Linked DNA regions of Drosophila melanogaster. The protein of the gene in region 2 interacts with the protein of the main gene of each other region in a pairwise test. Each region holds a gene or a part of one and is shown on either strand. Other genes may lie near its edges.

Region 1 (3,305 bases), on a different chromosome or scaffold from region 2:
CTGTACTAAGGGAAACCAATAAGTACCGAAGGCTTCACAACGCCAATCCCCTGAAAATGGATGAAAAACTTTGTTCCTATGCACAGGAGTGGGCAGATGTATGTAGATGTATTTAATATAAATAGATCCTTTCTTTTTCACCTAAACTTGATTTCCACAGCATTTGGCTGATCTGAACAAACTGGAAACTCGACCTAATCCTCTTTACGGCGAGAATATTATGCGTGTCCGGAGATCCAAATTCTCCGTGGATCAAATACTGAAACTCTGGTACCAAGAAAAATACAACTACGATTACTTAAAGCCAGGCTTTAATTTGTACACTGGACATTTTACCCAGTTGGTTTGGAGAGAGTCAGAGTTCCTGGGAGTGGGCGTGGCATGCGAGTGGGTTCATAATTTTAAGTCATACTAAAAATAATCCGAAACTAACTACATTTTACACGCAGTGTTTCCTCCATTTGGATTGTGTGCAATTACCATCCGCCTGGAAATGTAAGCGAACATTTCAGGGAAAATGTCCTGCCTAGAAAATTCCTTCTACTTAAATCGGACTTGGATGCCAAGGAAACTAGAAAATCGAAACATCACAATTTAAAATAGAAAATGGTAAATAAAACAAACAAATACTGGACCTAGATTACGCTTTTATTATGCTTAAAATTTTGATCAAAAAATCCCAGAGTTATTGCTTTGGCGGCACATTATCCTTGAACAAACCCACAACATTGCCGGGAGGATTGTAGTTGCAAACCACCCAAGTTCTATCCGCTCTATTGGAAGACATGTATGAATAGGATTACCATAGCCATAGCCATAAGACTCACTTTCGGGCCACACCCGAACCCATTTCCACCGACGACTTCCAAATGAGCTGAGTAAAGTGTCCAGCGGTGGGCACAAACTGCGCCTTGTTGAAATCGTAGCTATTGATTTCCCGATACCACATTTCCACCGGCAGATCACCGGTCACATCCATTCCACCGGAGAGGAAAATGTTTTCGCCGTACTTGGGATTGGGTCTGTGCGCCATTGTGTTCTGATCGCGGAGATGCTGGAAATGGGTGCAAATTAATATAAAATACTATAGAATACTCTTTATCCCTCATCCTACATTGGCCCATTCCTGAGCCAGCTTATTTAGTGCAGCATTAATGGTCACCGCGGGACAGCCGTGCATTGCCCGATATTTATTGGTGGTATTGAAGACCTCCTTCAGGAAGAGCTCGTTGTTGCCCTTGGTATCCTGACCCCTGGGACCTGGAGGGCGCTCGTGGGTTTTGGGAATGGGCGCTACGTTTCTCTTCGCCATATTTCTTTGGGGGATTGGCTGGCGCCGTGATTTAGTTAACCAAATTTACGTATGCCTAATGACTTTTTAAGCTAGCTGGCTAGATCAACATTTCTCGTTTTTAAGTTACAAAATTAAGTGGTTATTATACATGTATACAAGGCAGTCAATTAAAATTTTCACTGAGTTCTGAATAGCTCACCCATCAATCACAATGTTTTGTTTACAGCCGAAAAACCCTTTTTTCAAACCGCCTCATAATCTGGCCTAAACATCGGTATTAGCATTGTGATTGATACCGCAAACACAGGCTGTGGGTGACGGATTCACAGGACGTGTGCGTGCCCAAATCCATTGACGGGAATTAGACAGACTGTATCACACATCCTTCTTCTGCATCTGCCGATGGGATTAACCAACGTGACGTATGAGTGATGCATGTCACTGGGTTTGGTTATTAATGAGCCGGCGATTCTTTCGCAATCCAGCCATATGGCTGGATATGTAGGTGCAGGCAAATCGGGCAATTGGAGTGGCATTAATTGCCGACTGAATCGAGCTGGATAATGCGAGTTGGCCGACATGGAGGCCCCTTATCAATCGCCCGCAGCGCCGCCCATGGAAGTGCAAATTTCGATGTCGAAACACTCGGAATATTAAATTATTTAAGTGTGTGAGTGTGTGTCTGCGCTGCGGGTGGTGCTTCAAGTGTGAATCCCTAATGAGTTGTGCAAATGCAAATCAATGGACCGGCCGATGTCGCTGCTCCCGGCAGAGATTAAGCCGATGCTCCGATGTACAGATAGGCGGATACAGCCGCAGGACAGGCTGACTCGCTGAAATTATCCTGTGCGCCGCAAGGTGGATGCGGGGTCACAGCATTGCGTTTGATATACTCATGTGCCAGGCACTAAATTATGGCCCAGCTCATTGATTTATGTGAATTTGTGTACTAAGTACTTAAGTACTCGGCCATAAGCTTAAAGCTGGATAAAATAGTTTATTAAGCCGCGAATTTAAATAAGTATTAATGTTAATACAGATTAAAGCCAATTTGGTTAATTGGTAATATATAATTCAATCAATATCAAAGATTAGGATGAATTTCAATTCAATTAATCGGGAGCTCCCTTTTCCATTTCTTATTTTCATTTGCTCTATAGACAAAGATATTTTCGAAATGGATAAATGGCTCCATTTAAGCCGCTGGTAGAATTTCTGGTAATATTGTAATAAACTTTAAGCCTGCTCGCTGCATTTCAGGTTTCCATGGCCTCTGTCAGAAACGCGATGCACAGTCGCGTCATCCGCACAATGCACAATTCACAATTTCGGTGCCATCGGAGTTGGAAAATGTGTGGTTGGGTGGTTGGGTGGCTGGGGGATTGGGTGGTTCAGTGGCTGGGTGGCCAAATTGTTTGGGTTGTAAGCTGGCCACAGTCAAAGCGTAAAACGCAAAGCGCACACGTTACTTTTCTGTCGATTTAATTAATTTCGCAAATTTGGTTTCGTTTATTTATGCATTGCTGGTCGAGTGGAGGGTACAGTGCGCGCCATACGCAAAATAAATACACTCGCACTCTTATTTCGAGCATGCGGGCATTATATACATAGATGGTATCTGATATATCGTATCTGGTATCTGGGCAAACAGGCTCGCATTTCCATCAACCACACGGCATCCGGAGCCGGATGCACTCGGTTGCACATACGGATACTGCCTTTAATTCCGATTCCCATTGATTCGAATTGGTCATGTTTTGGCATAGGGTAAGTACCGCACAAAAAATGAATGCACAATTTAAAAAGTTCATTCTGAATTTGAAGCCAAACAATCTCAACTGCAGCCAATAAATGTATTCTTGTATTCCAGCAGATTTCATTGGTAGCATGCGTATTCCAATGTCGTTAAGCTTAAGTATTCCCAACGATTTCAAATGTTATAAGCTTCACATTCCACACCTTTTAGTATCACTTACTCTTTAAATCCATTAACAAAGTGCCAAAGGTTAAT
Region 2 (4,833 bases):
AGTATCGCTAAGCTGCACAAATAAACACGCAGAGCGGCAAACTCGTATTAAGCGATCAATAATCGTGGTAAATACGACACTGTGACGCCAGAGGGGCGATAAGGCCAGAATTATGAACGCACAATCCGCTGAGATTGGGAAGGCAACCCGATGGCAGAGACTGGTTTTTGGGCCTGGCTCGTTGCAGATAAACAATAGCAATAGAAGAGCTTAGACTTTGGGTAAGGGTCAAATGCCGGGGGCATTCCTCTGTGCAGGGGAAGGCGGCGGAAAAACCGCAGAGCAGGAGGATGTGCCTTCGCCTTCGCCTTCGAGTGGCCCCTGCGCAATGATGATGATGATGATGATGAGCATAGCAAATACAAATTATGGCTGAAGAGCGCTACGTAAATACTGCAATCATTTTAATAGACCAAAAACGGCGGCGCATAAACCATAAACCAAACGCCACAGAGCCACAAAGAGGAGGCATCTCCGGACCCTTGGACAAAAGTGGACAGCCGAAACTAACTTTTCTATGGGAAGTCGGAGTTAAAGGCGTTTTGCGATGCTGCAATGGTGCACTGTTGCACTGTTGCACTGTTGCAATGCAGCAATGTTGCAACAAGCTGGCACGCGAGCGGCGAAAATTGCTAGCGAGCCCATGATGCGGTTTCCCGGCACTTGCCCAAGTTAAGCAGGGAAATTAGCGTAGATAAATATTTCCGAGGAAATTCCACAGCTGATGACCACTGATCGATAGGCAGGGGGGTGTGTATTTTGTCGATTTCAGTTGCTGGAGGACAGCGAATTCCGATGCGTCTCGGCCACTTGCGGTTTGCAAATTGCTGGCGAGGAAGGAGTACTCTTCTGCGCGGATCGTCAGGCTTCTTTTCCCGGATCATCGACGTTCTATGGGGTGATTTCTGTCTGATAGACAGCTACAAGCGCACTTAAGGCCGCTTGATGAGGGGCGGCATGGGCATGTATCTTTAGCTATCACTCGGCGTGCAAGATACAAAGCAGATGCTGACTAACCCCAGTCGTAGTCCCAGCACCCCTCTCCGCAGTCTGAAGCATCTCCCCCCCCCCCCCCCAGAAGAACTCATCCAAATCCAACTGCCGCCCCTGTCAATTCCGTAGCATTTATTTTCGTCGCCGCCACTCGAGTCTTTTCCCCCAGAGTTTGTGCTCTCGCTGTGCGCATGCGCTCTCCAACTCTACACACATCTCGCGGTTTGTTTTGCTACAGTCATTCGTAAATATACTATAAATAGTAGTTACTGTAAGTGTATATATGTGCAAACAATATTGGTTAGGATACAGCAAGATAGGAATTAATATAATAAGATGTGCTGAGACATAAGGTAGTACATTTTAAAAATTATTTATTATTATTCACACATATTACAACATTAATTTACCTTCGTTTTTTATCTTTTACTTTATTTTCGTAAGTGTTTATCTGGAATCATTCCTGCAATACAAGTCTTAAGCCGTACTTAGCGCCACACCACGTGCTGGCGGCGCTCTCTGCGGCCATCTCTCCATGGCTCTCTCTTTGCCAGCCGGCATTCGAAACTCTCCAAAGTTGGCGCCAAAAGTGCCGCCTGCTCCACTCCGGAGTCGCAACACCATCCACACTCGCGGTCCACCCCAGAAACAGGTTCCACCCGGGGGCTCAGCCAGGCGGCTCCAAGTCGATGCTCGGCCAGTTGCTGTTGGACCGTCGCACGTAACGCACGCTGCAGCGGAACTACTGAGTTTTGGTTCGGATCGGAATTCGCATCGAGTTTGGGCTTCGGTTTCGGCTGCTGTCGGATTTATCGGTCGTTTTGGTCCGCTTGATCGGTTGGCCAACTGCAAACTCGGCGGCCTGCATTCGGCAGTTGTGATTGATGGACTGCAGTTGCTCCGCAAACTCTGACCTCTGACCCCGGACAATCATCAGGTTCTGTGACTTGAAGGGCACTTTTTACGAGGGTCTCGCTGACCGATACCAAAAAACGACCATCAACGGAGAATATATCAAATAAAAAGTCCAATTTCGGTTTCTTTTTGTTGCCGGGTTTTCGATTTAGCATTTCGCATTTCTCGAGCTTGTCGACGTCGTGTGCGCGGTCTTCATAAATTATACAAGAGCGCATTTTGCGAACGACTTGCAAATAAATAAGCATTTACGCTTTTATTATTGCCCGGCGTGTGTGTGTTCGTTGTTGGTGAGTGTGTGTGTTTTTGGAGCGGGAGCGGGAGCCGCAGTTCTTCGGAAAAAGCTCCCATGTGGCGCAAGCCGGAGGAATAAAATAAAACCGAACCGAGCGTTCCCCTACTTAAAATATCATCTTTGCATACAATCAACATCTAGCCATAAAAGTGTCTTCGTCCTATGAGCATTCCGGTATCCGCTCTGATTTGTGTGTGCTGATAAGCCAGTGATTGCCCCAAAACGCGCTCCTCGCAGACCCCATATAAAGATATCTCAAGCAGGTAAGCATGTGGTACGCCGCCCATAACTCATCACGCACATTGAACCAGCCGAAGTGCAATGACATCGCGTCGTCATTATGCAAATGTGTAAATAGCGAAATGAGCAGCGTGTGCCTGCATCCTGATGCGTCCTCATCTTAGTCATTATAATCATCGTATCGCTGCCCAGCTGTGGGGCTTCCAGCCGCAACGATCTGCATAATTGGAGCACAGCTAGCTGGGTGTCTCTAACTGGCTCTAATGAATAAATAAGTGCCACTAATAGTTTTCGCACTTCCTGTTCTCGGCCATCAAGTTGCACGCGTTCTCGGCAGCAGGAATTGAATCATCTGCCACATCTGCATCGTCTGCATCATCAGGCCGCAACAAGGCAGCGTCCTCCATGCTGACAATATTTAATTATGAAGCTGCGATGGCGATAACCTACCTGTCTGACTTCTTTTGCTATTTGTGCCTGACATGCAAGAGTTCTGTGGCGGGTATGCACTGAAAAAAATCTATACGCACCCAAACAAACAGTTTATTGCACATTAACGTATTGCATAAAATTCTTAACTTAGTTAGAGAGTTCATTGTTGGTTCGGGATTGTTGACAATGACAAATATCCACTCAAGTATTTTCTCCTGGTGTGGGCAAGTCAATTCCGCAATTGTGGTTCTTGCAACAGCAACATTAACTGCTGATGCTGCTGCTGCTGCTGCTTCTGTGTTGCGTTGTGTTGTCGTTGTCAACGTCATCATCGTTGGCATAATCATTTTCGCTGCTCTTTCCCACACAAATCGGCATGGAAATGTTTTCATTTGGCGCATTTACTTTTTCCAACTTTTGAGCGAGGCAAAATGAAATTCTTGCCACCGAATTGTCAGCAGTTGCCATGGCAAATGTTTGCGCAATTATTATTGCAAACTTCTTCCGATGCTTTGAAATGTCTTTTTTATTTTGGAGAGATTTTTTTTTATTAGTTCAGGATATGACTAGCTATGATTTGATGGCATGGTTATAAGCTACATACATACATAAGTGCAGCTGTGTCACACCGCGTGTTTCGCCGGCCGAATTTCGCATGGAAAAAAACATTTCCTGTCCAACAATGTTGTGCAACGGATGCCCCATCATAGTTTCCCCAGATAAACATCAGCCAGACAACCAGAACACTCGAATGACTTGCGCAAGTAGGCAGAGTGGGGAAAAAGTGAGCACAAAGTAAATACAATTTTTCACGAACGAATTTTCCCGACTTCCTCATTTGCTTATCAGGCTGGGGAAGATTCCCCCGCCGCCGCTTGATTTCACTCACGCAGACTCATCAACTTTTAATTAGCTGTAATTTGTAAATTCAACGTCAAACACCGACCACGCAGTCAGTCAGTCAGAAGATGTCGCCGCCGCCTTTGAAGTTGCCGCAAATGCGGATGGCGATGATGATGTTCGCCACACTAACAGATTGCTGATAAAAGCCACCCCCCCCTACCGACCAACATTTCTCCATCACAAATCGCCTGGTTAACCCTTTCAGCACCTCTAATCGCCGGCAAAGCCAGGCCACGAGTCGCGGTATTCTTCTAACCAAAGCTGCAAAACGCCCATCCATCAGTGATGAGCGGCAGCTGTCAGCGGGTTCGCCGGTTAGAAGGCAGGGATTGGCCATCCGTCGAAATTTGACAAAACTGTTTCGTTTATAAATGACTCTTTGATGGCCATAAGCGGTGCCCGAAACGAGGAATTGATTGGGGGGGTATTGAAAATCCAAAAAAAAAAAAAAGGGGGAAGCCACTCGATTCGAGTGTCACATTAAGCGGGAATACATGGCACTTTAAAGGCTTGTTACTTTGGCTGGCACCCGTTTCTCATACCACTAATCACTGGCCAGGGTCGTAAATCCACTCGACTGATTCCCATCTGAAGCAATAAAATAATGCTCGACCAAATTACTTCAGGTCTTGGGATCCGCTTTTTTAATTAGTGACATTATAAATGTGGACACACTAATGGTGAGCAGGGGGGGCTGTACTAAAAACAAAACTTTACGAGCTAATTTTATGGCTCTTGCAAATTTATAGACTTTTGGCTCATGTGACACAAGACTAAACCAACCAACCACAAGCAACCAAACCAAACTGGCAGCCACTGCGAAAGCAGCAGCAACTTTCCTAACAATCTCTATAAATCCCCTGCTTTGCAGCAGAGGCACTTAATTAATTTCTGTAAAAACTTTAAGAACAAAGGGCTGTTCGTTCACGTTACCAGTGTAGTTGTTGTTCAGTTGTTCAGTTCGGCTCCTATAGCCCAGTTGTTGCACGTTAATTTCCAATTTGAGGCGAAAAGAAAATAGAAAAAAAGTGAACGAGCAATGTCATACATAGCAG

Evidence for each region.
Region 1: the proteins of CG34347 (region 2) and CG4270 interact in a two-hybrid assay, tested with the Drosophila melanogaster proteins (one large-scale study listed by BioGRID).

What each region holds. Positions count from the first base shown.
Region 1 is NT_033779.5:2,261,565-2,264,869, reverse strand, and holds CG4270 (uncharacterized protein), read right to left. Parts: upstream 1,429-3,305; 5' UTR 1,313-1,428; coding exon 1,115-1,312; intron 1,055-1,114; coding exon 828-1,054; coding exon of another isoform or gene 824-827; exon of another isoform or gene 785-823; intron 774-784; coding exon 686-773; 3' UTR 629-685; downstream 1-628. Other genes in the region: CG34049 (uncharacterized protein), read left to right, coding at 1-98, 161-387, 450-603.
Region 2 is NT_033777.3:31,309,466-31,314,298, forward strand, and holds the start of CG34347 (uncharacterized protein), read left to right. Parts: upstream 1-1,691; 5' UTR 1,692-2,466; intron 2,467-4,833.